2 linked regions of the Struthio camelus genome follow. The protein of the gene in region 1 interacts with the protein of each later gene in a pairwise test. Links are inferred from orthologs where the notes say so. Each region holds a gene or a part of one and is shown in the gene's direction. Other genes may lie near its edges.

What was found.
Region 2: the proteins of AGR2 (region 1) and FABP2 interact in binary tests that used the Homo sapiens proteins (3 or more experiments, as listed by UniProt). The two-hybrid records come from large-scale screens. The link is inferred for Struthio camelus from reciprocal best matches to the Homo sapiens genes AGR2 and FABP2.

The regions. Positions count from the first base shown.
Region 1 is NC_090943.1:34,169,246-34,185,988, reverse strand, and holds AGR2 (anterior gradient protein 2 homolog), read left to right. Parts: upstream 1-9,365; 5' UTR 9,366-9,445; intron 9,446-11,043; 5' UTR 11,044-11,051; coding exon 11,052-11,202; intron 11,203-11,318; coding exon 11,319-11,382; intron 11,383-11,480; coding exon 11,481-11,533; intron 11,534-12,502; coding exon 12,503-12,576; intron 12,577-12,854; coding exon 12,855-12,918; intron 12,919-14,221; coding exon 14,222-14,305; intron 14,306-15,130; coding exon 15,131-15,180; 3' UTR 15,181-15,462; downstream 15,463-16,743. UniProt on the Homo sapiens protein: Required for MUC2 post-transcriptional synthesis and secretion. May play a role in the production of mucus by intestinal cells. Proto-oncogene that may play a role in cell migration, cell differentiation and cell growth. Promotes cell adhesion.
Region 2 is NC_090945.1:20,527,842-20,545,041, forward strand, and holds FABP2 (fatty acid-binding protein, intestinal), read left to right. Parts: upstream 1-9,284; 5' UTR 9,285-9,322; coding exon 9,323-9,389; intron 9,390-10,104; coding exon 10,105-10,277; intron 10,278-10,856; coding exon 10,857-10,964; intron 10,965-11,851; coding exon 11,852-11,902; 3' UTR 11,903-12,981; downstream 12,982-17,200. UniProt on the Homo sapiens protein: FABPs are thought to play a role in the intracellular transport of long-chain fatty acids and their acyl-CoA esters. FABP2 is probably involved in triglyceride-rich lipoprotein synthesis.

The DNA.
Region 1 (16,743 bases):
AATAGGTACAGCACAACATGCATGATTTTACAACATGGGCTCTAGCAGTCCACGCTCGTACAGAAATTCAAACAATATTGCAGCTCCCAGAGATTCTTACAAATACAGTCTCCACTGAAATAGTTAAAAGGTAGAGCTACTTTCATAAGGAATTTTATATTCCTATGTTCCTGTATTTCACAGAAGAATTGGGTTGGTTTTATTCCAAAAAACCAGCTGACTGAAAAAAACTATTATTATAGTGCGTTCAAGCTTAAGTTTCATTAACATAGCAGCATCAGTCATCAAAAGGATGGTCTCCTAGTTCAAGACGTAACTTGCTACTGCTCACATCAATTCTTAGACTTTAGTGATGGCTCTGCTTTAATTAATCAGTTATAAGAGTGTTACTTAGTTATTTTTTGGGCTGAGCCAGGGTAGTAAGGGCAGAAAGTGAGACCGTTCTTCATCACACCTGCATAAGACAAAAGATCAAACATACTACATGCTGACTTACCTCACACATCAACCAGGAAGTTTGCAGGGAAATACAGGTGTTATAACCTTATTGGTCTACAGAAAGAAGAAATGAGAGTGTAATGAACACCTTTAATAAAACAATATGGAAGGTATCATTAATTCAACCCACTGCCAAAGGAGGACAGGAGAAAAGAGGAAAATTTTACAGCAGGTCATGTCAGAAGTCATGATTCCCAGTGGCAAACCGTGGCTTCTCACGTACGAAGGCACAAGAATATTCACAACACTCAAGCGCCCACATCAAGCTTGTCTAAAGCTGCAAATCATTTGGAGCTTTTAGATGACAACTCTGCCTCTTCCCTCCAGGTTCTTAAATAGAAAATATGGAGAGCAAGGACCGACTGTGCAGCCTCCAGACTGTTTGCCGGTTCTCAGGTAAAAGCTACTGCCATCACATAAACTTGATGATAGGAATTTTCATGATTTTCAGTTTACAGATGAGATAACTAATGCACATAGACACTGTAGTGGGAGAAGAAACAACAAAAGGTCCATTACTGGCTGCCACGCCAGTACTCTGTTGGCTGAAGCATGTGGCATTCATTGCTCGTCAGTAATGCACGATTAATAGCCTAGATTTTTTGTTTCGCTCCAGGAACCTGACATCAAGTACCTTACTCAGTTATTCATTATCTTCTGTTTGTTTGGGTTTTTCATTTTCAGCAAGATATTTTACATTTAAAACTTACAGTTAGTGAAGCGAGCAGCACCCTGTATTGAGTTAGCAACTCAGTTCTCAGTGCTGTTAAGCCAACGCAGCAAAGTACTAAACACTGCCCCACCAGAGCTCCACGCATGCTAAGCAAAGACTAAACATGCATGGACATTTTCCTCCTTCCTACTGTGCTGCTGATATCCCCCACACCCTCACCCACTCTAGAAAGCAGGCAGGTGCTACTGATTGGCCTCATGGTTACTTCTCCCAAGTAACACCTGCTGAACATAGCTGGCGGCATCAGCTGCCTGCTCACCTCTGCACTCTAAGCAGCTGCACTACATGAAACAGGAATACAGGAGCCAAAACCTCAGCCTGCCAGAGTTCATAAAGAGTCCATGCATTCAGCTCCAAAAACTTAACTAATCCAAGTATGCTAACTACATATCTTTCACCAGAAAACAAGAAATAACATCTTATTTCATCTTCTTCTGTTAGATGCGTTAAAAGATAAGCGGCTCCCAACAGATCATTCACATAACAATTCTAGTATGGGTAATTTTAGGTATATATGACTCTTCATGAGATTTTAAGTGCTCTTCTTTCACATTGCTCTCAAATCTCCATCTTTCTGACCCAATTTTATGGGCATGCAGCAGTGATCCGACTATCTGTGAATTTCCTGTGCCCCAAAATATCTCTGAATGGTAGAGGTGGATACAGTGCAGCAGCTGGATGCAAAAGACCGCGTTGCCTAAGCTCTCTACTATTTCAGCCATTCTCAGCTGCTGGAATGACCCCATAGGAGGGAGAAAAAACAAGTGTTGGCTGTTCTCCGGACCTGAGGGCTTTGGTCCCAACTTCTGTGTAGCTAGGCTAAGCACAGTTCAAACATATCTCAGCCCTTGGATCACCATAAGGTAAGTAATTCACAAGATTTAGAATTGTGTTTCTTATGCCAGCTACAAAAAATGCAGTTTTAAAGGAGCAGAAAGAAAGTTTTCACTGCATCTGAATGTAAAGATGGAACGTCGTTATTGTAGTGACACAAACTGGAATTTGGCCAGCATGAGAGCAGTAACACCCATTCTCCTATCAGTTCTCTGTGACTGATATTGCTTATTTAGTGTCACCACCTGACAGAGCGTGCTTGCTGTTTCCAGGCCATAATTTTTAACAAGACTTTAGTACACGTGTCCTTATGTCATTCTAATTGACTAATCAGCCAGCTAACTATTCTGGTAGGGATATTACAACTGTATTTGTACAGTGGGGTGACCCACACACTGGTGAAACCTGAGCATCTCATGGGCAGAAGATAATAAGCATTCTATTCCAGCTATAATATCCCAATCTGTAAACATGGTATGGCATTTTTCTATTAATTTAGCTTTTATATGGCCGTAGGTCAGCTGCAGCTAAGGGTGCAATATGTCTAGGTCCAATTTAAGTTCACCTTTATACTACTTAATCTTTCCTTCTTATGTGCTACATACACAGAATCACACAATAGTTGAGGTTGGGAGGGACCTCTGGAGATAGTCTAATCAAACAAGGTCAGTGACAGCAGGTTACTCGAGACTGTGTCCAGTCAGGCTTTGACTGCCTCCAAGGATGGAGACTCCACAACCTCTCTGAAAAACCTGCTCCTGTGTTCGACCACCCTGACCACAGGAAAAGCTTTTCTTATGTTTAAATAGAATTTCCTGTATTTCATTTTGTGCCTGTTGCTTCTCATTCTTTCATTGGCCACCCCTGAGAACAGTCTGACTCTGTTTTCTTTGCTCCCCCATCAGGAGTAAAGTATCAATGAGAAGATTGCCCTGAGCCTTCTCTTTCCTAGGCTGAACAATCCTAGCTCTCTCGGCCTCTTCTGCTATGACAGATGCTCCAGCCCTCAGTCTTCTTCACAGCCCTTCACTAGATTCATGCATCTCTTATATGGTGGAACCCAGCACTGGCCATAGCACTCCAGATGTGCCTCACCAGTGCTGAGGAGATGGAAAGGATCACCTCCATCAACCTACTGGCAACACTCTGCCTAATGCAGCCCAGGAGTCTGCTGATCTTTGCCACAAGGTTATATTACTAGCTCATACTCAACTTGTCCACCAGGACCCCCACATCCTCCTCTGCAAAGCTGCTTTCCAGCCACTCAGACCCCAGCCTGTACTGATGTCTGGGGTTATTCAAGCCCAGGTGCAGGACTTTGCATTTTCCTTTGTTGAACTTCATGAGGTTCTGCTCTGCCAAGTTCTCCAGCCTGTTGAGGACCCTCTGAATGGCAGCACAACCATCTGGTGTATCAGCCACTCCTCACAGTTTTGTATTTGTTAGGGCCTGAAGCAAATCCCCCTTCTAGGAGTTTAGGTGGCTAAATTGAACAGTTTCATTGGCTGGTAAGAGCTGTTGTGAAGGAAGTGAGGCCTGCCACCCCTTGCTGTTAGGAGCTGCTTTTAAGCAGAGGCTTTACTGCTGACTCCTGCCTGTGCTACACTGCAGCTGTGCAGCAGCTCTGTCTGCACCTGGTCTTCTACCTCTGAAAGTCTCACTATGATCCATACCCACAGGTTCAGCTTCCTGGCTTGAACTCAGACCTGCCTCATCACTACAGACTTGCTGGGCAAGCAGTGGATTGTGTCCGACCCTGACTTGCCGCTCTGCATCCCAATTTCTTGCTGGTGAAGTCACTGCCCCCATGCTCTGCTCCCTGCTCACCTTGCCTTGCAGAGCAGCCAGCCATCCCTGCTCCCTGATGGCACCATCAGCAAACTTTTTGAGGGTACACTCTTTCCATTCATTAATAAAGACATTAAATCACCCTCTGAGGTATGCCACTAGGGACTAGCCTCCAGCTGGACTACATGCTTCTCCTCCCTGTCCACCTCCCTCATCCATACTTCATTGGTTTGTCTGTGGGGATGTTATGGGAGATATACTCTCATCCAAGGTCACTATATTGTGATGCATTCCTCGACTGAGGAAATAGTTCCTACAGGAAGGATGATCTTTGGAAAGCCACTGTCATTGGTTCTGCTCCTATGCCAGCATTCTAGATAAACAGATACTTTAGCAAGAAACTTATCACAGGGAATAGGTACAGCGTGCTAGGAGATTGTTGCAGGAGCAACACTGAAAAGCGAGCAAAACTTTATGCTCACACAACCACAGAATGCAAAAAGAGAGAGATCCTCTCCCAGAATCCTGAGACTTATGACTATGTCAAGATTTGAAGCTCTACAGTGATTTTTAAGGGTAACCTTGGTTAAGATCATTTTAGGCCTATGTTCCTAACATTGCTGTTGTATAGGCAAATTAGGCATTACGTTTAGAGACCGTATATCAGTGCAGCGTGCACTTTAGGTTATCTGGAAGTAAAAAACTACAGAAATTGTGACGTTTGAGGCAATCTGGAATAGAATCACTTATCTCAGTGAGAAGCTAAGCCAGTGGTCTCTAATATGTTACTAAGATATTGTTTAACAAGGGAAAGTATACTATTAGTACAGTATACTACGCTATATAGAATGTATACTATATATATACATATATATGTAAACAGTATACTATACCAGTATTTGCAGACAAGAATTGTAGTGAGAAGCCTTCAGAAGCACATTCAACAATCTGCATTGGGAAGTGTACCTCATAGCATGAACCAGCTGGAACAGGTTACTGTGCTATTCCAAAGCTCATGTTAAACAGCGTAAAACAGAAGTCAGACACAGAGCAAAGGTACTCTTTGGAACCCCATCCCTGTGAATGATCACTGAATAACGACACGATTTAAAACTTTGTCAAGTCAACTCTCGGAAACATCTGAAAACAGAGGTTCTCCTGCCTCCCTGGGCATTCTGTGCCAGTACTGTGCTACCACTCTCATGAAGATGATTTTCCTGATGTCCACCACAAACCTCCCAAGCCACAGCTTATGGCCCTCACACTTTGTTTCATCATCTGCTGCTACTATCAAGAAGAGTCTGAATCTATCATCTTTGTAGCTCCCCTTCAAGTAGTTGCAGGCTGCTAATAGATTACCCCTTAGCCCTCTCTTTGTCAAACTGAACAAGCTCAGACCCTTCAGCTTCTTACATTTTAGTAGAGGAGGCCATTTATGAAATTATTACAGAAACTTAAAGTGTGTTTCAGTCTGAAGAAAAAAATAGTGAGAAATCTCTCAAAAAGGGGGAAAAGAAAGAAGGTGAAAACATACAGGAGCCTCCAACTGATCTGGGGTCAACTTTACAATTTTTGTGGCCAAGACCCTAAAGACAGAAGCTGGCCGGAAGGTGCCAACATTACCAGAGACCATGGTGCTTGGAGAAAAGACCAACAGCACAGGTAACAAAGAGGAAATCTACAGAACAAATGAGCTTCATTGCAGAGGTAATGGCGATTATGATACTGGCCTGAAACCAAAAGCAACATTTACAGTGTGAAATTAGTGCACAAGCAAGAGTGATGCTCTTGCCTTAACATTGGGGCCAAAAAAGGAGGCGCATTAGTGGGTTCTGTTGGAATTTGAGTCATAGTGCTCCTAGAGTACTTTAAATATATTTACTTGCCATTGTGAAAAAACCAGGACGGAACCGTTTATTTGTGTAAATAGCCCAGGTAAGATATTATGAATAAAAAGAATACTCGCCTGTATTACTCAGGGACTAATTCTGGGAGTCAGAGTTGACATCATCTATTTTTTTTTTCCATAGTTGGTCAGTGGCCTCTTGTCAGGCATCTTTAGAGAAGCAGAGCACATAATGGTGCACAGTTCTATCAGTTGCAGGAGATATTGTTTCTTTCCCGAGATTATGTTGTGGACAAAGTTTGGCACCTAGCATGTTTCAGAGAAAAATATAGGGCACTGATATTCACTAGAAGTCAAGATCTTCTGATCTTTGAGGTAGCACATTAGGAAAATTGAGAGGTCCTTGGCAAAGGTTAACCAAACAAATCCAAAATAACAAAAATGAAGACAATAAGGCACAAATAAAGATCACAGTAAGCTGAGGCAGGTCCAGGAGACTCACTAGAATTACCAACACTGTAGCTTAGCTACTTGTCCGTAACAGAAAGCCATCATCTCAGAACCAGGGGATGCAAGTTTTACAATTAAGTTAGATTCATCCGCCTTCATATTACAGTACAGTAAAAATAGGAAACCATTGGCTTACAGACTTTAAGCAATATTAAAAACTGCATATCAATATGCTCAGATAGGCGAGGAGTCATTTACTCTAATTCCTGGGTACAGAAAATTTTCTGCTTTTAAATAAAGCTACTTATTTTATTAACTAAAATGCATTTACATAAAATTAAGTGCAAGAATTTCATCCATGAAGCCTTCCCAATCACAACTTGCTCAGTTAAGGCAACTAGGTAAGTCTTCTTCAAAGGCTGCGATCTATCCACAGTTTCTAAACAGAAAGTGGGCCTCTTCATTCATTTGGTGTCTCTCTGTGGGACCGAGTGAAACATCTGAAAATTAACTCTAATAGTTGTCAGGATCAGGCTTTCTCTTACTGAACACAAGCTTAGTCCCACGTATGCTGAAAACCTTGACACTCCTTGATGCAGTAAATCATGATAGCTTCCATCGTGAAAAAGTGCATTAAACTATACAAGCACAGGTACATTTACTATGGGTGTTCAAATGACTTGCTGATGTGGAAATACATCATTCAGCAATTCCTTCCAGCACATCCCAGTACTTCACAACACAAAATGGAGCATAACATAAGAAGTGGTTACATGACAAACTCCAGCCTTTATCTGAGACTATTTAAAGGACGTTTCATGCTTGCATTTCAGCCTGTCAATTTTTATCAACTGATGGTGATTTGAATTATATGCATGCATATGCAATTGGAAACAACGCTTTCAGAGATATCAGAATTCTGATGAATTGGTATATTTTCTTTAGAACCAGTCATCAAAAGGTCAGATACTTATAAATATCTTAAATCTTAACATCTCTTCTGCTATCCAATTTGAAATATATTACCAATAAACTGTAGGTACTTCAAGTTAATAGAGGCATTCATTCAACAGAAAAGGAGAAAGTGTTAGGCTGACACGTTTTGGGAAATTGTCATCCTTCAAGATAAGTCATCAGATGTATCGCAGGTATTTACCTGTACACGTTGAACACTGCAGGAAAATGGCTACAATATTGGTCACCATCAGAATGAAGGTACCATCAGAACAGAGAAATGAAAATCAGAAGAAAAAAAAGCAAATGTCTAGTTTTGTAAAGATGTTAAATATTAACTGTAATGGGGTATATCAAATCTTTACAGCAAGAGAGGAAAAACCTTCTGGGATAGTTCCACTTTGTTCCAAGCTATCCTGGGGCAGTTCCTGCAGGACCTAGTTACTGAGGCAGAGAAAGTCTCTGATAAACAGCCTAAAGCGAAGTCGGAGGCTGGGGCTGGCTTCAGGACCCTAGCTGGGAACTTTAGGAAAGGCTGAGCTCCCCTCTCCATTCACAAAGGGCAGGGCTGGTTTACAGACACTTGCAACTAGTTCCTTTGAGATCACTGGGTCAGAGGTGACAAGAAAGTCCCTGTCAGTAGCTACGTTTTTATTTTTAAGTTTCTGATGGAAAATAATTCTTAAAGAGCATCACAAAGCTATATGGAAATAGGCTAAGGTAAACGTATCTCCTTAAAACAGGAGAAAGTAAGAGTACAAATTTAATGGGAATATATCTAAGGCAGGTGCCAAAGAGTGAATGGGGGCTGAGTTTTTAGAATGCATTTTTAGACAAGTTTGCTTAAAAAAAAAAAAAAAAGAAGTGTGTGAATGGGAGCCTACCCATTCATTATCTCCTCATATAACTTGAAAGCAACTAGAATTGCTGTTACAGGCTTTAAAATTACCAAATATATGCTATTAGGTGCAACCTGAGAAGACAATCAGCAAGAATACATTGAATTACAATTTAGAATTGCCTAAAACAAAGATTTCAGAAGCGGGTACCTAATTGTTTGACTCCTAAATCAACACTGAGGTGGATTAATGAGACAACCTGATTGTCCAAAGCAAGAGCTGTTCCACATATGCACTTAGGGAACTTATTTTGGTATAACTTTTGGAAAAAAAAAAAAAATCCTGTTTTAGAGTAGAAGTGATTTGGATACACAATATAGTAGCTGACGAAATACATATCTGAATCTTCCTAATTAGTGTTTACAAAAGGTTAAAAAAAGAGTGATCCAAAGCACCATTTTCTCTGAAATATATACAGAAAAATGTACGTCGTTAGCAGCTATCAGAAAACACAAGGAATTTCAAACAGAAAAATCCATATCTGATTGATTTCATCTACCCAGTTGAGCAATGTTAAGTGCTCACTGCTTACGAAGATGTTATTTTAGTCTCACTAAAATATATGAGGCATGCACCAAGGAGAACCTACTTTAGCTTCAACATATATCACCTAGGACAGGATTGCCGCCATCTCTTAAAAAGTACCATCTGCAGGAGGTGCAAATGCTAGGGATGGCCTTCTAGTAAGGCAAAATGGTCTACAGTTTTCCCGAGTGTTGCACTGTACTACATGTATCTGAAACCTGAAGTGATAGGTTTTCATGTTGTCATTAAAGTAAGCATCTACAGAATTAATTAAACATGAAATCTGAATACAATATTTATTTAGACCTCAGCTTATGAATGCAGTATATTTTTATGGCTTCTAAGTATTTTTTTAGCGAAGATCTTTATAAACTTGCTGTTAGATTTCATTTGAAATTTTGCTATGTAGTATTATATGTGCATGTGTACATATATATCTGTATAATTCACACAGTTAATTAGATAATTAACAGCTAAAGTCTGAGTCATCATCTAACTTTTTCAGAGGACTAAAAGAATAGTGACCAGGTTCTATTCCCAACCAATCAAAAAAAGACAAATCACTCTTCAGGCAAATCAGGAGTTTGGATTTAAGCTTACCTGGACTTGGATCTTTGCCAGTATTTTAAAAATCACCTGTTAAAAATGTTCTAAAAGACTACAGAAGCATCTCTGAGCTTTATATATATGGTGTTTGACAGGAAATGTTAATGTTATTTGATTACAAAATTAACCGAGAGTATTTTAGTGGGGAGGAAATTGGAAGATTTAGCTCTTTGGTAGTAATATTCAAATCCAGAGCTTGTAGGTGGAGCTGAGGTGTGTGAAGGTGCATAAATAGGCAGTAGGAGCAGTAGCGGTCACACTGTAACTCCGGACACCTTCTCACCTGGGCAGGCAGCCGGGAGAGCAAACAAGGTAAGGCAATAAACATTTCTTTGGAAAGAACCTGTTAAAACCTGTGAATTCTGGGCTCAGGTTACCTAGAGCTGAGGTAGGCTAATCAATGGAAAAAAAAAAGACTGCAGCAACTTGGGGACAGTTCAGTACAGTTTGCTATAAAGAAAATGTATAGGGAAATGTTGTCTTTTCAGGTTAGAAATAATCAGGAAGGGAGGGTTTTTTGGGGAGTGGAGAATGTAGAAAAAGTGCACATAGCTTTGCAGAGGTGAAGTTTTAAAGAGCAGGTTTAATGATTCTCTGTCTTTGGTTTCCTGGTTAGCAAATTTTTTTTTTTTTTTTAGTATTACTTCCTCAATACAGATCTAGCTAAAACAGCTCTCTAGACAGCACTGAAAATACACCAGGTTTAATTTAACTTTATGCAGTTTTCTTCCTTGCAAAGGATACTTTTCTCAGGGCAAAAAAGCAGTCTGTTGTAAAATCTTATTTCGTGTTTCTGAAACAATGACTCCCTGGATGTTGAAGGTCTACTGAACATCCCAATAGCAAAAAGCACTGTAACACTGATTCAAATTCAGCTTAAGCCTCCTCCAGCAGTTCCTACCAAAACCTAGAGGAATGCATTTATTTCCCTGGACTTTCATTCATTACCTGAATTTTAAAAGTTTCCGGCCTGCTGTAGTTTTTGCACAAATGTTCTGAATTTTCTATATCACTTTTGGAGTATCTTAGGTCTTTCTATCAAACTGGTATCTGTTAAACTAGTACTCTAGTTTTCAAGAATAAATTTAATGAGAAAAAATAGGGTCATATCACTGTCATGTGCCTCCTCCCTCCCCTGGTTTGAAGAAGCATCCCAGTTGGACCACTGAGGAGCTTCCCATCAGACACGCCTCACCTCCATCCCCAAATCCCAGTGTCAGGCTCAGGAAGAGCCATCTGCTCTCTGCCTTGCTTCAGCTCGCAGATTGCATTTCAATTTTCACTGTTCCACTGATTACTTCTTGTCTTTAAGGACTAGATAAGAGTTTTAAGGGGGAAGGCATGCTCTGAAGTTTCAACCACAAGATTAAGCTGCATCCATGCCAATGACTCATTATAAAACCTAGCTTATGATTTACTTCTCACAGGAGTTGCTGTAGCTGCAACATAGAGGAATAGCCTAGAAAAGTTAATTTTTCAGCATCTGCTGAAAAATTTCAGCTGCTGGAGTGCTTGGTTACTATAATATTGAGAGATCTAGATACAACTCTGCATGTAGTCCTTTTGGATTCTTGTAGAAATTGCCAGAATTTTGTTGTTTTACTGAGCAAATTCAATATTTGTAAAAAGGAGAGACACAGAGAGAAACTAGCACCAAAGTGAGTGTCTAAGAGGACTACAGCCCAATGGGATGCATGGAGCTGTAGAAAGTGACTGATTTCTTTGTGATGATTTGCTAAGCAAACCTCACCCTTCCTCTCTGTTCCCACCAGCACAATTAATTTCAGCAGTGACTCACCCTGCCACATATTTGTGATTTGAGCTCTCACTTGAGCACTGCTCACCTGCCCTGCACCTCTGCACAAGCAGCAGTTTGGGAAGCAAAGCAATTTCAAGTTTCTCTTTCCTAGGAGAAGCCATGGAGAAGAGCTATATGTCGGTGTTCCTGCTGCTTGTTGCCCTGTCTTGTGCTCTGGCTAAGGATGCACCCAAGAAGGAGACCAAGGAGACAAAGGAGGCAAAGGAAACTAAGGAGACTAAGCCAAAACTGCCTCAGACACTCTCTAGAGGTAATAAAAAAGTATTTAAAAAAGTGCAACCTGCTACAGTTTTAATTCCTATAGTTGTTCTAATAATTCAGTTTCTGCTTCATTAACCGTTCTGACCTGCCCTTTCCCCATCGCAGGCTGGGGAGACCAGCTTATCTGGACACAAACCTATGAGGAAGCCCTCTTCCGCTCCAAGACCAGGTATCACAGCCCTGCAACCTGGGCCCCCCATGACCTATGGACCCCTCAGCACCTGTCTCCACATCCAGTAACCCCTAACAAGACTATTCCTTTTTCAGCAATAAACCCCTGATGATTATCCACCACTTGGATGACTGCCCACACAGTCAAGGTAATCATTCTGCACAGAAAAGCAGCTGCTTTTTGACTTCAGAATATGCAGTGTTTAAAAAAAAAAACCACAAACACACTTGCTCAGTAAGCCTTAGTGAAATACTAACTTACAGAAGCAGGAAGAATATTTTTTAAATCAGTATCACATTCCTTTTTTATTTTATTTCTGCACACACAAAAATACCTGTATCTCAGTATTAATGCAATACTTGCATCTCTTGATAAATGCAGGAAAGAGCACAGATCAGCAGATTTTGACCTGTGACAAGTATGTCTTTAGTTTGCCTTAGAATCAGTTGAAACCCATCACAAGATGAGGAGTAACAACAGCAGAAATTTTCAGGAAAGGGAGAGAAAAGGAAGTATTCAACTCTGTCATTGATGGTCATGACTGAATTTGACCAGAGACTAAATCAAACAAGGCTGAAACTGAGTTCTTGGGGGATTTCTAGTAGCTCGGACTACTCTTTTCTCTGTTTTTCTGAACTTACCCGGGGGCCCCTCATCCTGCCAGCTGATCCATGCAGCAAGACCTTTCCATTAATCAATAGCCCCAGTAACTCCAGAGGGAACTTGGTTAACATTAAGATTTCTCGAGACATTTCTGGCTGAGGTCCTACACCTCCACACTATTATTGTCAGCACCTTCAGAATTGGAGCCTGAAGCTATAATATTAGACTAGATTTAAAGAGTCATATGCTCAAATTCAAATTTGAGCAGAAAAATTTTAGAGATCTACACCAGCTGAAGGAAGGGGAAATTCTATACCATTATACTTACTCTTTATCACAGAATAATGAAGCTGAATGAAGTTAAAATCTTTATCTGCTGTAATGGTATGGCTGCTACCAGGCAGCCATATTTGAATCTATCAGTTGTTCTAAGGGATTTTTTTAGGCCAAAATTTAAAGTATATTTTGGGGTTTTTTGGTTTTTAACTGTTATTCCACATTGCTTTCACTATAGCACTGAAGAAGGTCTTTGCTGAAAATAAAGATATACAGAAATTGGCTGATAAGTTTATTCTCCTGAACCTTGTGGTAAGTTTCCCAGATACCCTTCATTAACTGAAAATAATAAACTTCTATTTTTAATTATGGCTTCCATAGCTTAGTCAGTTTAATACCTAGGAAAAATGGCCAGTGCTGAAGCATGATAGATTTAGTAATAAATCTCTTATCTCTAGCTATCATAACCCTAAAATACAAAGAAATTCGAAGTTTAATATAATATTAAATTTTAACTAAAATTTAACTAAATATTTCTATAACATACACTGTTGCAATCTTGAATGAGAACCTTATCTGTTTTCTTTAAGTATGAAACAACAGACAAGAATCTTTCACCCGATGGCCAGTATGTCCCTAGGATTTTGTTCATAGGTGAGTACCTTAAACGTTAATGCTGATCTTGGATTGAAGCCCTTGCTGCATCGTGAGTCTCAAGTCCTCAGGCATATCAGCAGGAATTTATTCCAAGAGAAATATAGAATCTCTGGCTGTGTCTTGCTGCACATATGAGAAAAATAAAAAAAAAAAAGGAATAATAAAAATAATAATAATAAAAAAAGAATTAGCTGAGCAAGAGTCTCCTCTTGGAGAAGGTTTGCACAGCCCTAAAGAGAAATAGAGCAGTGATGGAAAAGGAACAGTGCACTGCCAGAGGTGAGGAGGCTGATCACAGCTCCACCTCCGTGTGGGCAGGATACAGCCCATTCACCTTGAACCCATCCCCTCTCGGCAGGCTACTGCCTTGAACGCAGTGCCCTGCTTCACCTGTACGCCACTGCCCAACCTGCCTTCAGTGCACCTCTAGAGAGGAGAGAGCACTGTGCTCTAGCCCTTGAAGCTTTCATTGTTTAACTTGAATTAAAATTCAAACTAACCCCAGCCATGACATTAGGTTCACGGGTCTAGAATTCAACGCCCTATAATTTCATTAAATTTTTTTCTTCAGAAATGATAGTCTTGTTCATTATGCTATCTCTAGAATTATCATGAAGCAGACAGGTTTCATTTTGGCACATAATCTCATGGGCAAAATGGAAACAGCAGTGACCCAGCATGTTTCAAAGGCTAGATTTTCAAAGCCAGATACATAGTTCTGTGCTTACTTGCACTAACGTCTCATAAGCTTTTTCATTTTGGACATCTTAGTGGCCATGCCTGCATCCATATATTCCTTCTCCCAGAGGGGATACGTAGCCTTATATGCTACACACGCATACCATTAGCACGTACCTTCATAAATCTAGGTCATGATGCACATTTCTGTTCCTCAGCCTCTCAGAAGACTTGGATGAAGATCATTATTTTCTGTTGATTCAAGCAACTGCTTTTTTTTTTTCTTTTTTTTTTAAATTTGTAGCTTGGGAGCTGTCTCAGCTTATAGAGTTAATTAACGTACCGTGCAGTGACACGGGGTCTAAGGCTGATCAACAATAATATGAATTAAACCTATCCCCTCCTTGATAAGTCTGCACACAGAAGACTTAAAATTGAAACTTCAGTTACTTTGTGGAACAAAGTGCTGTTGGCCATTAATGGAAGCAGAACACTACCCTAAAGAGATTAGCAGATTTGTCTTGCAGGAGCATTCAGGATGCAAGCAGAAGTGTAGAAAGCTTTATTTCCTTATGCTTGAAGGTTAATCCTGTCCTCTACAACTTTTCTCATCTTTTTCCAGATCCTTCCCTGACTGTGAGAGCAGATATTACTGGAAGATACTCAAACCGTCTCTACGCATATGAGCCCTCTGATATTTCTTTGTGTAAGTATTTCTTTGTGTAAGTACTATATCCTGAAAGCAGTCAGATTTTTTCACACAATAAGGAATATCACTAGACATTACACACACCTGCAATCAATAGTTACTGAAAGACAGTCATCCAATGCAAGGTATGGACAGGTTGGGGAAGAATGTAACTTCATGACTCACACTTTCTAGCGATAGTAATACTCAACATTGTTTCATTCGGTGTCAGTATTCACATTTGAATTAGATTAATTTAGTCCAAGTGGAGGTCACCGGGTCTGCCTGACTTAAACTTTCTGAAGTCTAATACTAAAATCTTAGGAAGTTAAGAGGAATGCTAGACTTAGGGTCACTGTGCTGAAGAGAATGATGGTACAACCCTGGAGCCTTGAACATCCTTCTACTTTGAAAGAAAACATAGGTAGTAGGAACTGGCACAATTCAGTACTGCTCATTGTAACCAAGAGTTAGACCACCAGCGCCCTTGCATACAATCTCTGCAGCCCAAGTCAGCAAACCTTTTCTGGAGGCAGTAAAGGGTCACACGTGATAGCCCACCCTCAGCACACAAGTATCGTGTGTGCTGCACAGCTCACATCTCTGACCTGTGAATAACTGTGCACTTGCACTAAGGGAACACATTCTCCCCAGGTGCAATTAAGCAGACTGATGTTCATAAAACGCTCAGCAGAGGCTGCAGAATAGTGCATCAGAATAAATACACCAATAGGGATTTGGGCAAAGACTTTTATAATAAAAATGATACTTCTCTAACATAATTGTAGTCAGAGACAGAGGAAGTTGCAGCAAAAATAACCTGTATGAATATTGCACTTCTAGTGTACTCAAACATGCAGAAAGCTCTGAAGCTCCTGAAGACTGAACTGTAAGGGGAAGGAGGAAGCCCCTGAATACCAAGAAGTCTGATCTTCCATCTCTTCTCCACTCATTGACGCTGGTGGAGAGACTACTCACGGTGGTTTTTAGTGATCTATAGCGCTGGTTATATATATATATATATAAACACTATTGTTTTACATTAGCACTTTTGTACTGGACAGCATTTTTAAAAGCTAGAGGCTTTTAATTTTGAAGGCATACAGAATACTGTATGATCCAACTGTAAAAAGTGATTTTTTAAAAATAAATCCATTTCAAACATTTTCAAAGATGATGCTGTGTTTTCTATTTCTTTCCTACCTCATTATTATCTGCTGCCATTAGTAAAATCACTGTACTACAGGAGACCACAGCTTGCAACTTTATACATAAGCACTATGGAAGAAAAAGGAAATACGCTTTTTCTATTGCCACTTTCAGCAGCTAGCTAAGCTCTGTATTCCTCAGCCTACTTTCTCTCCCTTTAATTTCTTGGAGCACCCAGAAAGAATAACATCAACAGGAAGCAACCTGTCTCTAGTTCTCGTTATCAGTATTTTCTGTAAAGACAGATAATGAAGTGTGCAACCATTTTATAGAAATTTTCTATATCTTGCAGTTAATTGCATAGTAATGTGCACAATACTTCAGTCTTTAAGAAAACATGTCCTCAAATGCAGCAAAGTAATTGAGACTAGAGGATGCGATTATGGGTTTTTTTGTTTTTTTTTTTTAAACTGGCTGCAGTCTAAGGTGATCTCACAGCATCAGCATATCTACTTGAAGAATAAATAAGAGTGCCCCTTAAAAGATTCCTGCTCACATCAAAATTCATAGCCTTGTGATAGTTATTAATAGGAGAGATATTGTATTTAAGATCCGGTTGGTTTCATGACTGCTTTATGGCTTATGGTTTCTTATTTACTAGCCCTAAAGGGGCTAGAAGTTGCAATTTAAAAAAACAATGACAACAAAAACTAAAGCTGAACACCTTGGGAGCGCGTATCATCTATGTTAAGATTTAGGTAAAAAGGAGGCTTCCCATCTTCAGCGTCAAATATCTAAGCAAGCAGCAGTAGCAGCGTGAAACAATTTGTGCAAGACTATTCCTCCATTACCTTCTCAGCTCTTTAGCAATTCCAGCCATCATTAACCACCACTACAGTCATGATTACAATTATGAGAGAGAAATACATTTGGGAGGGCAGGGCAGACAAGAGAAGGTGGAAATGGCCCAGACACGCGATTCAAAATTCCTTCAGCAGTTTAAGCAAGAGAGGATGGGCTTTCTTTTAGAGCATCCTTTATAATTGAGATGAGGAAGTTCTTTGTTACAGAAAGGTCTTTCCCTTTCTTCCCAAGTAGAAGACATCAAAAAAAGGAAGCACTGGAGGAAGAAACATTATCTAGAAGAAGCTATCAGCAGTCATAAAAAGGAAAAAGGTGTTTATAATACAGAGCAGAAAGATTCAGGAATGTTAGCCCTCACGCATGGAGGTGGGAGCAACTGGTTGTTAGAATCATCTTCATGTACCTGACTCAAAGTGCTAGAGAAATATATCTAATATGAAATA
Region 2 (17,200 bases), on another chromosome or scaffold:
ATTGAGCAGTACAGAAAGTGAAGGAATGGGTCAAATCTGCTTTTTTTTGCCTATACATATAAAGAGGGACCAAAATCTTACCCTTGGTAACATGTGCTTCACCTGTTCTTTACTGTATTCAGCTATTCCTGCTGATGTCCAAGGTACTTTACAGATGTAACTGAAGTTAGAATTTGAGCCCTCTCTGTATTCACATGGCAGACACGCGTGTGTCTCTTAAAGAATGTAGTGTGAAACGCACTGTAAATAGTTTTAATATACACTTCTATTATAGTTTAATAAAAACCTTAATCACAGTCACTAGCCACTGAGTTTGTCCATTTGTATTCTTGTATCTTTTAAAAATATTTGAACAAATATATAGTTTCTGGGCACAGTATTTTTGTACTAGGTTGATGGGGTTACTTTGTATATTATGTTCTGCTTTTTAGCAGTATTAAAGTCTTCTGAATTTTATGATCTTGCTTGTTTCTGTCCCACAATTCTTTAGTAAAACTATTTACATTACTTACATGAGAATCATTTGTCCTCCTTACTGTACAGTTAACAGAGAACAGAGTTACGTTATTTTCTGTGGTCAAACTGTTGCTTAGTTACTTATTTTCTCATTCTCCTCTTTGTACTCTTTTCATGATTTGTAAAATAAAAAAGGACAATGTCAATTAAATTCAACTGTTTTTGTTAATTAATATTATTAAGGTTGACTCAATAATCAATTATTATCTGATAATCACATTATCAAATTCAACACTGCATTTTTCCTTGATTCAAATAAAGTATACATTTATAGAAGCAATTATTTACTGTATATATATACAACTTCTCTAGGTCCTAGAAATCCTGCTGAAAAGAACTTCACTATTAACATCAAGATACTCCTAACATGAGCACAGTCAGTGGTATGGGATCTTTTGTCGAAAACCGGTAAAAAAATAAAATAATTTACTCCTATTAACCACTAGGGAGCACTACAGCTACATTTATCTGGAACTGTCAGAAACCAAGCTATTTATTGCACAAGTAGAATTGGCAAATACAACTGTTATAAAGATGCTGCGTGAATAAAACTGGTCAACATCCATCCTCATCCTTTGCCCCCAAGTATCAATTTCTGGGGCAGTAGCATATGAGTTAGATTTAAAAAGTCAGCCCAGTGACTTCAAAAAAAAGTGAAAAACTTATTTTTGACAACAAAGCCACATCTTGCATAAACTGCTGATCTTAGAAGTGAATCCAGACCAGTGAGTTCTTGGCACTTCCTGTTCTTTGCTTGTTAGGTTCTCTGCAGCAACACTTCTGGCCTGATTTTTTTAGCTCTAGGCAAAACCAACAAGTATGTACATCCCTGACAAACAACAGTCCTATTCAAAAAGTTATGAAGGGCCAGATTTAGTCCAGCACAAAACACGAGCACTGTTTGCCCAAACCAGCTGCAATTTGTGAGTGCAACTGAACAACTGTCTATGTATATCTACATTTATCAGGTAACCATGTGCTGTTGGGACTACAAACTTTCCCACCTCACTTACCGGCCTAGGCATGCTCCTGCTTGCTTTTCACTGGACTACTAAATATTTGAATTCTTTTCTAGCACAGATTTACCAGAAGCGTTGGAATATGTTCCTTACCTGCTCCAGAAAATAATATAAGCTTGAAGTAAGGTGTTTTTCTTGAAAAAGTGAAAAAGAATATTACAGTATCTTTCACATCATGCAAACTACCATGAGTCTTTCACAAATGGAAAAGACAATGGCCCCTTCCTCCAGACATATTTTTAATAACAGTGGTAACAGCTCTTGCTAACATGCATTTCACATTCCTGTGAAATCTCACCCTTTAAGATTTTTAGGAAATAATTCAGATGTATGAGTTTGCTACAGTACCTCTAGAGCTTTAAGATCCTCAATGATCTATGCAGTCAGTCAGCCACTGAATTTTTCAGCTTTGAGAGGTAAGTAGCACTTCTCAGCTCTTACAGAACCACAACTTCAGAACTTCAATTTCAGTTGAAAGATATCACAGTTTATAAATATAGTAAATTTTCACTTCCATATTTTCCATTCAGAATATTTTAAAATACCTAGCTGCATGTTTTTCCCCTAATATTCCAAAGCTCTATTTTAAGATGGATTTTTTTCACATTTCTTGAGAGATCAAGCTGTTTTCCAAACAGCTGTATTATTTTCTGTTCTGAATTAGTACTATCAAGATAAAATCCTCTTTCCCACTGAAATAATTAATTCAGCCATAGTCTGCTCCTGCCCACCCAACAGTTCATAATATGTCTGTATTTTATCTTTACATGGGTTTCTTTTGTTCAACATCAAAGTCTGAAATACAGTGCTGTAGAAAAATATATTTTTAGTACACCAGAATGTGTACTATAGTGCATACATATAGTACACTAGAATACCTCCACGAACAAACAACGTTTAGTTGTCCAACACAAGATCTTTAAGAAAAAAACAGGGAGTAAAATACACGGTTAACTCATACCACTAGGTTATACAATACATTCACATACAGGGATTTCTTTGAACTCTTCTTTGTAGTAGTAAAGACACTGCTATGAATGATTTTATATCACAACAGCTTTTCATGGAACAGTAGTATAATCGTCATTTTACAGATAAATAGAGAGATTAATTTGATCAAGGTCACACAGAAAGCCTGTTTCTGAGCTGGAAGCAGAACCGAGATCTGGGTCCTAGTTCTGCTTTTACATAAGACGTGAAGAAAAGAATGTTTTGTGTTGAAGCCTTCTCTTCCTCTTAGATATATATATATAATTATCTGAACCATGTAAGGCTCTCTCCTCTATTTCCTGAACTCAGCAAAAATCACTATTTTACACATGGGATCAGATTAGACTCTAATCCAGATAATCACAATAACCTTTGGTGGAGTTTGGAGCTATATTGTAACAAAGAATATAGTGTATAATCAGGAAATAGCTATGCTGAAACAAACTGAAAGTCCAGTTCAAATTTTGGAGAACAAGAAAAGACAGATGCAGACTTCCAATACTGTACGTCAGCAGCTTCTTGGACTATAACGCAAATCCATCTTTGCTCACACCTCATTTCTAAACAAAAAGAAACTGCTTATATAAAATTTGCCTGCTACTAAGTACTATCTGCCTAGAAAACACAGGGAAAGAGCGGTGAGACTTGTATTTAAATACCTTGGTGACTAGATAAGCCTGATACGAAGCCCTATAGGACATATCAAACTATATGTGACAAGAGGCACTAATTCTCAGAGATTCATACAACCTTTGCTGGAAAAGCACACTGTATTTATGTTGGCAATGGGCCAATTTCACCCTCTCTTCATTGCAACTAGGCCAGGTTCAACTATTACAGGTAATTATAGGACTCATTTTAGGATGAACCAATGGATGAAGCAAATAACAGAGCTGGTATAGCTTTAAGAAACCCCTGCATTTTGCTTCTAGATTTTTTAACCTGGAGTTTATCGGCTCATGCTCTTCAGTTCTCTCCAATAATCAATGCTCATAGCAGCATTTTATGGATCACTACCTATACACACAAAATAAAAAGTGCATATACAGTCACATGAGCGTAAGCTTTAAGCTCCAGAGCAGACTACTAATCAATCAGACAAATGGATTCTAAACTCAGAGAAAATTTCCAAGCAATCTTCAAATATTGAACCTTCCTGTTGAACAGACTGCATTATCAACAGCAGCCAAGAGATTCTTCCTGAACCAGGGGAAAAAAAAAAAAAAAAAAGAACTTAGTAAACATGCAGCTGGGGTGGAACAAAAGCTACCTTGAGCATGATCTAATCCTGCTGCAATACAACATCCAATTGCTATAGGTACTTTGAAATTACCTATGCAAGAGATGGCATTAGTTAGACTAAACCGAGCTCCTTGTTTGTAGGCCACCTATACTGGAGTTGGCTTACTGATGCAAGACTATGCAGACACACCCTAAAGCAATGCATTATCTGCAGTGTTCTACTGAGTTACATGGACTTGATTTCAGATCTCATTTCCATTGTGTTTAGTACACTTCACAGTACACCTGCGAAATGTGCAAGTTGGCGTACATCTTAGGTACTTTAATTTTAAGTCATGAAATAAAACAGTGAGCCAACAGAAAGTAACAGGGGTATAAGAGGAATGGACTACTTTGGTAAAGCCTTAGGCCGAGAAAGAACTAACTGCCATATTGACATAAATCTGAGCATTGTCGTTTAAATGTATGGCAAAATTTGATGATAAGGGAACCAGATGCACTTAAATGTGCCCAAATGTCTTTGCAATCCATCCTAAGACACCTAGAAGAATCATCCAGTAGAACACATGCATAAGTGCTGCCAATTCAGTTCACAGCTCCCTGACAGAAACTAGTTAATCTGCACAGTTTTAACACGATTCACATATCTTGTAATATATGCAATTTATACAATAATATCTATATGATGTATATAATAATATCTATATGATGTATATAATAATATCTATATGATGTATATAATAATATCTATAATATGTTTATGCTGGCTCTGAGCCAATTATCATTCCATGAGTTCTACTGTCCTACCTAATTTTAGGCTAAACAACTTGAAGACAAGCTACAAACAATAAATGGGATAGAAGAATGTAACCCACTGCAAAAGCATTTTTGTCATCCTGATCTTTGAAATCTCATTGTCAATTACTTTTTGCAGTAGAGTCTCAAGTGATATGTTCTTGATTATCAGAGATTGGCATGACTATACAAGTTAATAATTTATATTCCTCCACCTCATACAGAGATCAAACTTCAAAGTTAAGATGTTTTGCAGCCTATTCCTAGTATTCTGAAACTGACAAGCTGAAGAATAAGCCACAAAGAAAGCCATTAAGCCAAAAATCACCACCTTCATGATTTTCATGCAACCAGCAATACTAGAAAACAGGTTTTCCAGTGCGTCATCTAAGCAAAAATGGTAGCTGTGAAAACTGTGTATGGAAAGGCTACAAAGAAAAAAGAGAAAGCTTGTGGAATATTCAAACATTAAAAATCTATAAAAACAATTTTAATCATAACTTTAGAAGCAGGGCTAACTGGAAAAACAGCTTTTATATGGAACTCAAAGAACTTCGAATACAGTGCATATAGTAAGATTTTTACATAGAAGAAAACTGAAGTCAGATTTTAGTAGGCTAATACTCCTATACAATTCATATAAACTGCGACAGAGGAAAAAATACAGCTGCTTGTTCTGTTGCTGACGTTACACCAGATCTCAGAGAAAGAACAGCTCTCTATCCTGCTAGTGCTACACTAATGCAGAGAACGTAATGTAATTGTAGAGATTATAAATGATTATGTAATTCATAATCATAATTATGAATGTAATTCATAAATACTGACTATCTGTGGAGATTCTGAACCACAGGAAGCTCCATCTGAACCTGAGAAAAAACTTCTTCACTGTGAGGGTGACAGAGCATTGGAACAGGTTGCCCAGAGAGGTGGTGGAGTCTCCTTCGCTGGAGATATTCAAAAGCCGTCTGGATGTGATCCTGGGCAATATGCTCTAGGTGACCCTGCTTGAACAGGGAGGTTGGACTAGATGATCTCCAGAGGTCCCTTCCAACCTAAACGATTCTGTGATTCTGTGATTCTTGCTTAACTGACAGACCTGTGGGGCTGATCTGAACAGGATCCCGAGGATTCATACTCAGTGAAAAGAAGTATGAGGAAAGGAAAACAGAAACGGAGCAACAAGCTGAAATGCAAAATTCAGCACCCAACCACTTGCTGCTCCCATGGTAAAGGAGTTTGAGTTGGCTAGTTAGCTACACTTCTGAGAGAGATCCAAGGACCACAAGGAGGGAGAGGCAAGTTGTGAGAAGAAAAGTCTACCTGATACGCACGAAAGTCCCAGTTAGTTATGAACCTTTATAGAAGACCCCCGTCCCCTTTTTTAATGTTCAGAAAAATTACTGTTTAAGTTTGATGCAGAAATTCATGCCTAAGCTGTGGGACACTACTACTCTTGAGTTATTTTTTCAGAGTTAAAGATGAAATGGATTTAAATCAAGGAGAATAATCAGTAACGTTAATTTTGTTTAAATATATAAATATTATGTTAGACATTATAACATTTCTTTAATCAAATGAATCAGTAGGTTCTTGGAGAGAATGTAGAACCCATTTACAAACCAGAAAATTCTCTTGAAATTCTCAAAATAAATGGTAATTTTCTGCCTATTTGTTAGATTTCATACACCCCTGCAATAATGGGAACTAAAGGGCTACTTCCATTATTCAAATATAGTATTTTCAAAGTAGCTGTCAGTTAAAAAAAAAAAAAAAACAGGATTGGCATTCTTTGCAAATAAAAGTACTGTACATTATAATATTATATAGCTAGAAGAATATGTATATATATATGTATATAGTATTTGAACTGCTGTACAGCCTCCCTTTTCTAGTGGATTCAACAAAAATGGTTCAAAAGTTGCACTACACCACTGACAGAAGGAACACTTCTGCAAAGATTACGAAGAAAGCAGAGTTGATAATTAACTGTTAATCAACAATAAGTTGCATGAACTATAGCCAGACACCAGATATTTTTATTTATGGATATATTACATATATATAAAATACACATGGACAATGATAACTACAAAAGGTCAAGGGATGCTCCAATGCAATAGAAGAGATAATCAGACTAAAAAGAAAAAAAAACTTCATTTTGCCCATTTTCTAAACTAGCTGAACAGTAAATACATACCCATGATTAGCACAGCACTCGACATAAGCTATGATGCCTTTTGAGACACTAAGTTCAGATTCAGCACCACGCTAATACAACTGTACATCTTCCATCTTACAGTTGGCTGATTTTTATCCCGTTCCGATTACAGGGCAAGTATGCTAGCAGGGACATATTTCCATAAATCAAATGTCTTGCCTATATCATAAACCGCTCCAGCTCAGAATGAGACGAAGTACTTCAGTTTTGTCCCACATACAAGACGACGATTACAGAATTCTAATATTTTAATTATAAAGACAATTTTTTTTTTTCTACCACAAATTATGCCTACTTCTTTGCAAAGATTATTTTGGAACATTTATGTAAGTCTAAGTGATTAAAAAAAAAATGCATGAAAATGTGGGAAGAAACTTCATGTAAAACTATGTAACAAGACCTACATGTTGGTGTTATACAGGTATGTAGGAACTTCCCTCACCACCTCCACTAAAGGAAGAGTAAACAGCCTGGAAGCCTTCCATCTGACAGGCTTTTTTATGCTGAAAGACCAGAACGTAAGAGGCAGAAGAAAAAGGAAAGAATATCTATCTAGTACAGGAAGAGTTTCAGACTGACTCTCCCTAGCCCTAGAGCGAAAAGGCATTTCTCAGACTGAAAGACTGCAACTTTGAGGGAGAGGAACTACAGTAACTTGGACTTTGGAAGATGGATGGATAAACTGCAGCCTAAAGAGAACATATGTCCACAACCCCAGTCCTTGTTGCTCGTGGGTAAAGCTTCCCACAGTGAAAAGGAACTCGGCTGTGCATCCCTGTTCTCTCCCAGCTGCATAGTTCACTAGGTTAGTGCTCCAGCACGTTCAACACTGCCCTTGACTGGGGGCTACTACTTTGCCCTCATAGGAACTGTTCATGTGGCCAGTGAGAGTCTTCATATTCTCCCCTTTTCCCTACACAGTTTAGGCAAAATCCCAGGTTAGAAAAGCAGATGGCTCACTTCAATTGAAATGGATTAAGGAACACTCATAAAAGCAGCTCCATCGGCAGATCCGAGAGAACCTCTGGCAGAGAGGCAAACTACTGCAGGGAGAAACTACTTGAACTGGTATAGCTCTGGTTGCAAAATGAGGTGTTCACAACTGCCACAGACTAGTTTGCACCAAATCCTATGTTTCAGGAGACCAAAGGGTCTGGGAAAAATTATTTCTGAGACACGGCCAGCTTATAGCACTCTGTTTTAGCTGCGAGCATGGAGCTTTTCCTCTTACCGCTTGTAAAAATAGGAATCAATACTCTAGCTTTCTTCTTTAAAAAACAAACAAACAGCAACAACAACAGGTGAGAGATACCTGTCAAGCTATTTTTCTTCTCCAGTCTGTTAGCTGGATTAGCACTGATCACAAGATGAAGCTGACTGAGTGAGAAGTCACACTATTCTGGTATCACTAGCAAAGTTCTAAATTCATAGTTACACTTCCAGTAAAAGCTCATCTTCTACGCTGGAATCCTAGATGTAATATATCATGAAAACAAGAGACACTGATAAAATTCAGTGGTGCAACCTACGATGTGCTACCAAGCAAAATCCAGCTTGGCATTTAGAGTCTACATTATTTTAAATCTAACAGAGAGCAAAGTTGGTGCCATGCACTCGAACAGTGTAAGTATGACCCCAAATTTGGTACAGACAGAAGCTGGCACAATAGATTAGCTCAGTTGCAAGTAGCATCATTTTGGGGGGAAGAAAGTGTATTCACAAAAGCTAAGTCAGGGTAGGCTCTTCCTCTGCATTATTCTTGAAGGAGATAAATCACGAACTTATGGAACTCAGCCACGTCAGATAAATTCACTTAGCTGCACATCTTTTTTTTGCTGCAGGAACGAGTATATGCACACCACATTCACCAAGCATGTTATGATATAGACAATTTGAAGAAATTACTTAGAATTTAAACTATATATTAAAGAGCGGGGATGAATACAGAAGATCATCACAATTTTCACAGCTCAGCACTAGACAAGAAGCACGTGAACAGTTCTCTGAAACAACCTGCACGCGCTCAGCAAATCCTCTGTCCTATGCTTATTACTTAAGAGTAGAATCAGTTTCTACAACAAATTGTAACAGACAAAGTAGAGATTTGTGTTCGGTTTGTTGAGTAAATATATTTTCTCCAGTAGTATAAAGACTCTCCCAGAGTATAAAGTTCTATACAATAAAGATACAGAAAATATCAATAAATTTTCTAAGTCAAATTATTGCCTTCACTGGGCAGCTGATTTTTTACTACAATTCATATATGGCAAGATGAATGTATTAGCCATGCTTTAAAAGAAAAAAGAATAAGAAAGATATTGTCATGATTTGCTGGCAAAAAAAGGAGAGATTCAGCGGGCAGGGTGGTTACAATCGGATATCTGATTAAACTACAGTAAACTTTACCTTGAAAAGATCAGCACACACTTGAGCTTTAGCCAGCCACATCATCCTGTAAATTGCTTTCAAGATAAGCTAGTTCATAAATTCTCCTAGCAAAGCTCCGGTACTGCAGGGAAGTCCTCCTTCAGACAAAAATATGGCATTTAATGGTACTTGGGAAATAGACAGAAATGAAAACTATGAAAAGTTCATGGAGGCAATGGGTAAGCCTTACTTTTCCAATCCTTTCTAAAAGGATAATACCACTATTACTGAACGTAAACTCTATCTGGCTATGAACTACCTTTTGGCTAGCCTGTCGATTTGCTGTCTGATGCTCTGCTTTTGTGTAGCGGCCCGTATTTATTTTCAAAATATTCAATTTTTTTCTCTCTAGGGAAAAAAATAAGCTATTGGGAAAAGTTCGGATTCCCCCTACCTTATGTTTATCTAAAGTAACTAACTCCAGCATTGGTGTTTCACATTTACATTTGGTATGGCAAGGCAGAGGGAGGAATCTCTCAGTCTAATTTGTCTTGGAAGGGTTCCAAGAAGTTGAATGATGATAACATTTAAGCAGAATTCTGCAGCAGGAATATTATTTTTGATGATACGCTATACGCTGGTTTAAAAATTACAAAGAAAGGAAATCACTAATCTTAACTTTCACAGAAAACAGGATTCAAGACATTTTAACACCTTAACGCTTACTTCAAACTTGTACCAAGCGAGTGTAATAGGGACACAAACATAACAGTTGTATAGTGTTTTGTGTCCAATCTGTACTGCTGAAAATAGCCTCAAGAAAAGGTGAAGAAAAAGAAAAATCTGGGCCTACGTACTGAGATAAGCTCACTTGCCCATACAGAAGCCACAGGAAAAGACATAAATATGATGCTCTGAAGTATTTTTCTAATTGATGTTAATTGATTTTTCTAGGTATCAATATAGTGAAAAGGAAGTTAGGAGCCCATGATAATCTGAAGATCGTTATTCAGCAAGACGGAAACAAATTTACTGTCAAAGAATCAAGTAACTTCCGTTCCATAGAAATTGAATTCACTCTTGGAGTCAGTTTTGAGTACAGTTTGGCTGATGGGACTGTATTAACTGTAAGAGACTTTGCCATATGATCATAACTTTATGAAGAACAGATTTAAGATGAATGATTTGTCTTTCTAGTTTTTAAATAAATTTAACTCCTAGGGTCTTTTAAGGTTTGACTACCCAGATATGTTTGCAGCATATATAGAAAAACATAAGTTAGTTTCAATTGTTAATGGAACGACATTTAAATATGAAGCTCAGGGCTAGATGCAGTGCTCAAAAAGCAGATTATCCAGCAGCTTTCACGTGCTGAAAGCCATGCCATTGCAATTATATTGCTTGTAAGACACAACCTAGAGCGAAGAGTGGGTATTTATAAGAAACTGCTTTTTTGGTATTGACATAATTCATTAAAATAACGTGTACTGAGCACTAAAAATAAAAAATCACTAGTTTGATTGACATGCAATTAAATAAATTAGACGTAGTTTCATTAAATATTCCATTTTTACAGCATTTCTGACAATGACAAAAAAAGGATCACATTGTTTCAATCTCTTCCTACTTGTAAACATTGATGCAGTCTTTGTGCAAAATCAGTGTCATCTTTATTTATTTATTTATTTATTTATTTGCCACCACAGGGCTCTTGGAACATAGAAGGAAATAAACTTGCAGGAACATTTACTAGAAAAGATAATGGCAAATCACTCCTGGCATTCAGAGAAATCATAGGTGATGAACTTGTTCAGGTGAGTTAAGCAATCACTTATGTGTAACTTAAAACCATAACGAACTGAAACATTTTCAAAGCTGTTCCAAAAAAGTAAATACTTTATTCATCCTAAATAACCTACCTTTAGTTAAAATTCTCACAGTAATCTATCAAAATTTAAAATTTTAAAATAAAATTGGCAACCCGTGATTTTTATGTTTTCCTACCAGCGTGAAATGGTGAAATGTATCTTACCAATGCATTCTGAACTCTGTGAACAGAGGCTGTCATACCATACACACGCACATTCTGACTGAAGGCCCTTTTCCAAGTGCCTGCCCTTTTAAAGTCTTACTATGGCAGCATCTATATACTACATTTAACAGTTGATATAGGACCTTTCAAGACAAACTTAGGTTTAGGTGTGGGTTTGGGGGAAGGGGAAGAAGGGAGTGCTTCACAGCTCTGTGGTAAAGCTAGAAACTAAACTCTAATGTTTTAAAATCCTCTCCGCTATTTCATCACAAGCTTAAAAAAATTCCACGAACAGATGTGAGATTTGAGATACCAAATCCACACAGTCTAACCCTTCAGCCTTTCTCCACAATTTTAATATAGGCAGCCACGTAGATGAGGCTTGTTAAATAACGGTGCTGGGAATATGGGGTTTGAACTTTTTTTTTTTCCCAAGCCCCTAAAAGTTTTCCAGTGACAACACAAATGTTTGTATAGAGAATTTATAACTATTGACAATAGGCTCCTTTTCTTAAGTTCCTTTCCTCAGAGCCCTTACAAGCAGTCTATAGAGCCCCAAAGTGCCACCTGTCCCAATTAACCAACCACTATTAACCATCTCTCAACAGAATCTGTGAAATAAATTTTTGTAATAGCAGTTACTGATTTTTCCCCTTAATTTTTTAACAGACCTATATATATGAAGGAGTTGAAGCCAAGAGAATCTTCAAAAGGGGCTAAATACTTCATCCAGAACAGGACCAGAAACAAAATCCGATGAAAAAATATTTTTTCTACTTATCCTCTGCTTCTTTTTCCTTTCACTCCCTCACAGCACAAAATTGTGATTACTTACCCCAAAGAAAGCATAGGCCAGTTCCTCACATTTAGTCTTTTGCCTTGATTACACAACATCAATTACACTTTGATCCAAGTACTGAAATGTTATTTTTACCAAGCCGTTCCTGTTTGAGTACCACATTCTCCCTGTATTGAATATTGTGTAATAAGGATTGTAAAATCTAAAAGAACCCTGAAAACACCCAAGTCTCCCAGACAACTATATATACAGACTATGAGTAAAAATATTGCAGGTACATTAAAAAGATAAAGAATGACTTCAGACTAAGTTGACTTCAAATACTGGTGCTTCTCACGAGTGAATAAATATGTATAATGTTCTGCTCATATTGTCCAGTCTGTACATGATGATTTTAATTCAGCCTCTCCCCCTTCAGCCGCACCATTTCCTAAGGGCTGAGGTAATAATAATTAATCTTTTGAGGGTCAGCATTACTTTAGGCCCACTGTGCCCCTGTAATCATGTGGTAATATAGTGCTGTCCCTATGTCTAGGGGGTAGCCTGCTTCCCAGCCCTGCACCCCTTCTGGAACACGTGTGGAACACACCTGCATGCTGCAAGAACTCTTGTTCTTCAGTAAATATTCCCCAATACTGTTTTCTTAGCTTCTGAGGATTTTGCATCCATGTTCCTACTGTCACAGTTAGGAATAAAAAAAAAAAAAAAAACACAAACCTGATTCATGTAAGAGCTTTGCTGAAAGGTGAAAAATATTGTGCGGCCCTGAGGACAGCCTTGAGGTTTAACCCAAAATATCAATGCAGCCTGATCTGTAAAGTCTCACAGCACTTCATCGCAGAATTCCCTGATGACAGCATGTGGCTAGATAATCTTCTGCCATGTGCTTATTTGTATGCTGTTACAGATCCCAATTTCAAATATCTTTTCTGAACAGGTATGTTTAAATTATGACTTTAATGGATTTTTTAAATATCTCACAAAATTTTTTCTATTATTTTCTTGGCTGTCTTTGACTGTCTTTTTCCTGGGCATAAACGACAAAAAAAGAAAAACAAAACATTTTTTTCCTTCAGTTATTGATGTTTCTCTAGCCTACACTTTTTTGGTTTTTAGAGTCTCATAGCTCCCTCTATTGGTAAAAGGCTCTCATGAATCAAAAAACGTTCAGGTTAGGATTGGCACATATCACCCTTCATTATAAGTTGTTTTTTTCCCCTCCAAATATTGGTTGAATGCAATTTCCTGTGTAGATACAATCTTCTTCAGTGGACAGATATACCACATCACAAAGAAGAAAAGATTACCTTACACAGTACCTCACTTCAATGAAGAGGCGTAAAATGGGGAAACAAATTATGAAAAGAAACCAAAAAATACTATATCTGAAACTATAGTACTACCAAATTCTGTGCATCTCTAGGTTGCTTTATTTAGATACTAAAGCCTTTGAAAGAGGAATAAGAAGAATAATAGCTTGCAATAAGCTCCATGGCAGCTTCTTTCACTAAGGCTATGCGCACAGAACAAGTAAACTAAACTGTAAGAGGCCCTAACCATTAAATTTCCATTACAGAGTTTGACCTTCATTATCAGCTGTATGTCATTATTGCTTCTAAATCGTAGAGAAATATATTAATGATTATGTCTCAAAGGTTTCAGGAAATTAGAGGAAGCTATTTTATTTCCTTAGACACTTTACTGGCTGGAAGGAAAGCTGTATTACGTTTCTGAATGTGTTCTCTATTTCTTCCCTGAGTATGCTGACTCTGTAACAGTCTCACACTCTCCTGGTTCAGAAAGCTAAACCCTACCGCATTCTTTGAATCATACTTATCTCTACCACATCTGCAGCATAACACATATTGTTTCATGGTTATTTTGATCTAGATTACTGGATCTATTTGACTGATTGGCTGCAATAAGAAGACATAATTAATAGGATTTTTTCTGTCAAACACTTGAGAAACTATTCTAGTAAGTTTTGGATTACATACAAGACCATGAACTGAAAAGTAATGTGATATAAAAAACCCAAAGATATGACCTGTAAAACATTTAACAACTCCAAATATTCCAGACAGGCAAGGTGAGCAGCTGTTTTGAATATACTTGAAAAATGAGAAAAAAAAACTCTAAAAACCTAATCTCTAATACTTGAGCTAGAATCAGCAATAAGTGTTGAGGGGAAAGGGTACAACTTTGGCAGTGGTAGACTTTGGCAAACCAACCAATAGGATCACTATATTAAAAAGTGAATGAGATAGTCTAGTAAATTTGACTAGGAGACTTATGTTTCCTATTGTTTTCAGAATTACATTACTTTGCAATCTAAGAGGAAATAATTTGCCTCGAGGAAACTGCAATCCGTAACTCCCTTTGCTCAAATGAGGCAGTAAAGATCACTAAAAGAAATACATTTGGGTATATGGGGGAAATATTAATAATATTCCTCAAAAACTCTGTAACGTACTTCATGTACTATGCATAGGCTTAACTGAAACTTTATATAGAAAGACAAATTAAAGTTCATACTGATTTGTAACAATCCTATTGACTGAAGGAAAATAGTTAGGCCTAAATGCATGCTTATGAGATGCTAAACTCTGACCAGATGCTTCTCACCCACTATCTACAGAAGTGCTGCTTTGTCTCCTAGTAGGATGAAACAAAGTGTTAACAGCTACAGTGAGGAACTCTTTATTTAGGACACAAAAATAATTATACTCCTTTCAATCCTGACTGAGCTGGTTGGACTAAGCATGCCACACCCATTCAGGCAAGGGTGATACATGAATTACTCTGTGGCTCTTTAGGGTGCAGAAGCTCCAGCGAACTTTCAAGCACAGGGGTATAGCTTTAAACTATTTTAAGTTCCCTATATATCTTTGCACAAACATTTCCTAGATGTTACCTCAGTTTTCTCAAGAGGATCATCTGCTCTCTAAGCAGCTGCATCAGGAAAAAGTCTTTGTAAACGTTTATTTCCTTAAAAATCCTAATACAGTTTCTTAACAAGGCCAACATGATTTAAATGGACTGACCAGCTGTCTTTCCCCATAGCCTTGTCTCACCTGGCCATGTGCCCAAGCAGTGGCAGGCAGCACTGGTGCCCAAGTACTACTACAGTAATGCCAGTCACCAGCTCAGTCAGGCTCACACAGTCCCCAAGAAGCCTCGGCTTCTTCTCAGCACTAGCAGCAGCAGCGGCCCTGCCTGTGTCTTTAGGGCATATCTTTACCACACGTTAGCCAAGCTCTGCCACAAAACTACCTGGGCCTGTCCTCGCCACCAGCTCCTCAGCGCACAGCCCGCCTACACGACACAGGGCGCGCTCCTTCGCGGCGGGAAGGCCACCCTCTGCCGCAGGTAACGAGGCCGCTCGCTCGACGCGGGCCTCCGCGGCAGGCTCGTGAGGAGAACCCAAAACCTCCGCCGCCACCGCCGCCGGTAACAACGGGGGCGGGGTCACGGCGGCGGCAGGCGGCCAGCACAACAGCGGCAACAGCAGCGCCACCCCCCGGGCGGGAAAGGAAGCAGCGCGACAGCGCGCGACCGCCAACGGTCACCAACTGCCGCCCCCGCGGCGGGGCGGGGCGGGGCGCTGCGTGGCGCGCGTGGACAGCGGGTGCGTTTGCGCAAGGGCGCGGAGGTGGAGTGGGGGGGGCAGTACGTGCGCTCCGCTCTCATTGGCTGCAGGCGCGCAGAGGCAGCTGGCGCCTGCGCGGTCGGGGGCCGGCGGTGCGTGGCGCGACCCGGGGCAGCCGGCGGGACTGCGCTGCCCGCCCGCGGCGGGGAACATGGAGGCGGCGGCGGCGCGGCGGCGGCGGCGGCAGCAGGAGCAGCAGCAGCAGGAGGGCGCGGGCGCGTCGCCGGCCGCGGGCGGCAGCCTGTCGCTGTCGGGGCAGTCGTACTGGCTGGACCTGTGGCTCTTCGTCCTCTTCGACCTGGCGCTCTTCGTGCTCGTCTACCTGCTGCCCTGAGGGCGCGGGGCGCAGGTCAGCGCCGGGGCCGGGGCCGTGGTGCTGAGCCAGACGAGCGGCGGGGCTGGCGGCGGGCCGGCGCCGCTGCGTTTGAGGCGCCGGCGGGTTGGGTAAGAGAGGCAGCGGCCCCGCAGGGAGGGCGGCTGCGGGGGGAGCTGTGCCGGCCCGCCGCCGGCGGAGCCGCCCGCAAGCCCCCATGCGGGCTAGCTCGGGGGAAGGAGAAAAGCAGCCGCCTGCGGCGCAGTGCTGGAGCAGCTGTGTGGGCTCTGCTGCCTGGCATGTCCCGGCCGCCTGGCCTGGCAAGGGCCTGGCGCGCACGAGGGCCGGGGTGGCGATGGCTGGGAGCAGAAGGCGGTGCGCCGCAGCCTGCGTTAGTCCCAGCTGTTTTAAAAACAAGATGCTTCACTGTTGCATCCGACCAGCTCGGATCCGACAGTCCTCCAAGCCATCCAGCTTCCTGTATGCTGATAGTCCTTTACTACACAGGAAGAGCAATGGTAATAAAGTGTTCACGATAAGACGGCCCTGACGCACTTCAAGCAGATGCGTGCGCACCAAAGACCTCTGAAAAAATAGGAAGCTGATTCTAGATAGCTGGCAACCTGATTTTTTTCTTTTTTTTAAAGGAAAATTTATAGTAATTACTCTTAGATATCAACCCATGCTTGATGTTTCTTTCATGTTTGCTCTATCTTCTGGAGGACTGCATGGTACTGCAAAAGTAACCAGATTTTCTTTGTTCTTTATAGAACCATGCCTAATCACTGTGATGCACCTTATGAAAATAGTGGAAGAGGAGGACTGTTTGTGCAGCATGAACAGCTGGGACCATGACTTAACTTGTATCTGAATGCAAGTGACTATACGTATTTATATATATATATATATATATACACTAACCACAATATGTCTCTGGCTGTATCGCAAGTGATATTGTTTAGGTTTTTAGGATCACCTGTATCCTGTTTTTTCCTCTGTACGCTAAACTGTGCCTTAAGGTAATGTAAGACAATGTGACTGTGCTTTTGCAATTCGTGCCCAGAGATTTGTTAAGCGTAAATGAAAATATGCACTATTTGAATAAAATCAACTGAAAAGACAGACTGTAGAGCGCCTGAAAAGTAAAAACCAGCTCTTGCATAGACTGAAGTTGCAACTCGGACCCCTTTTCTCTGTAGACCAAAGTGACCCTGTACTGCTTGATCTTCAAGCAGTTAATCATGAGATTTTGATGCT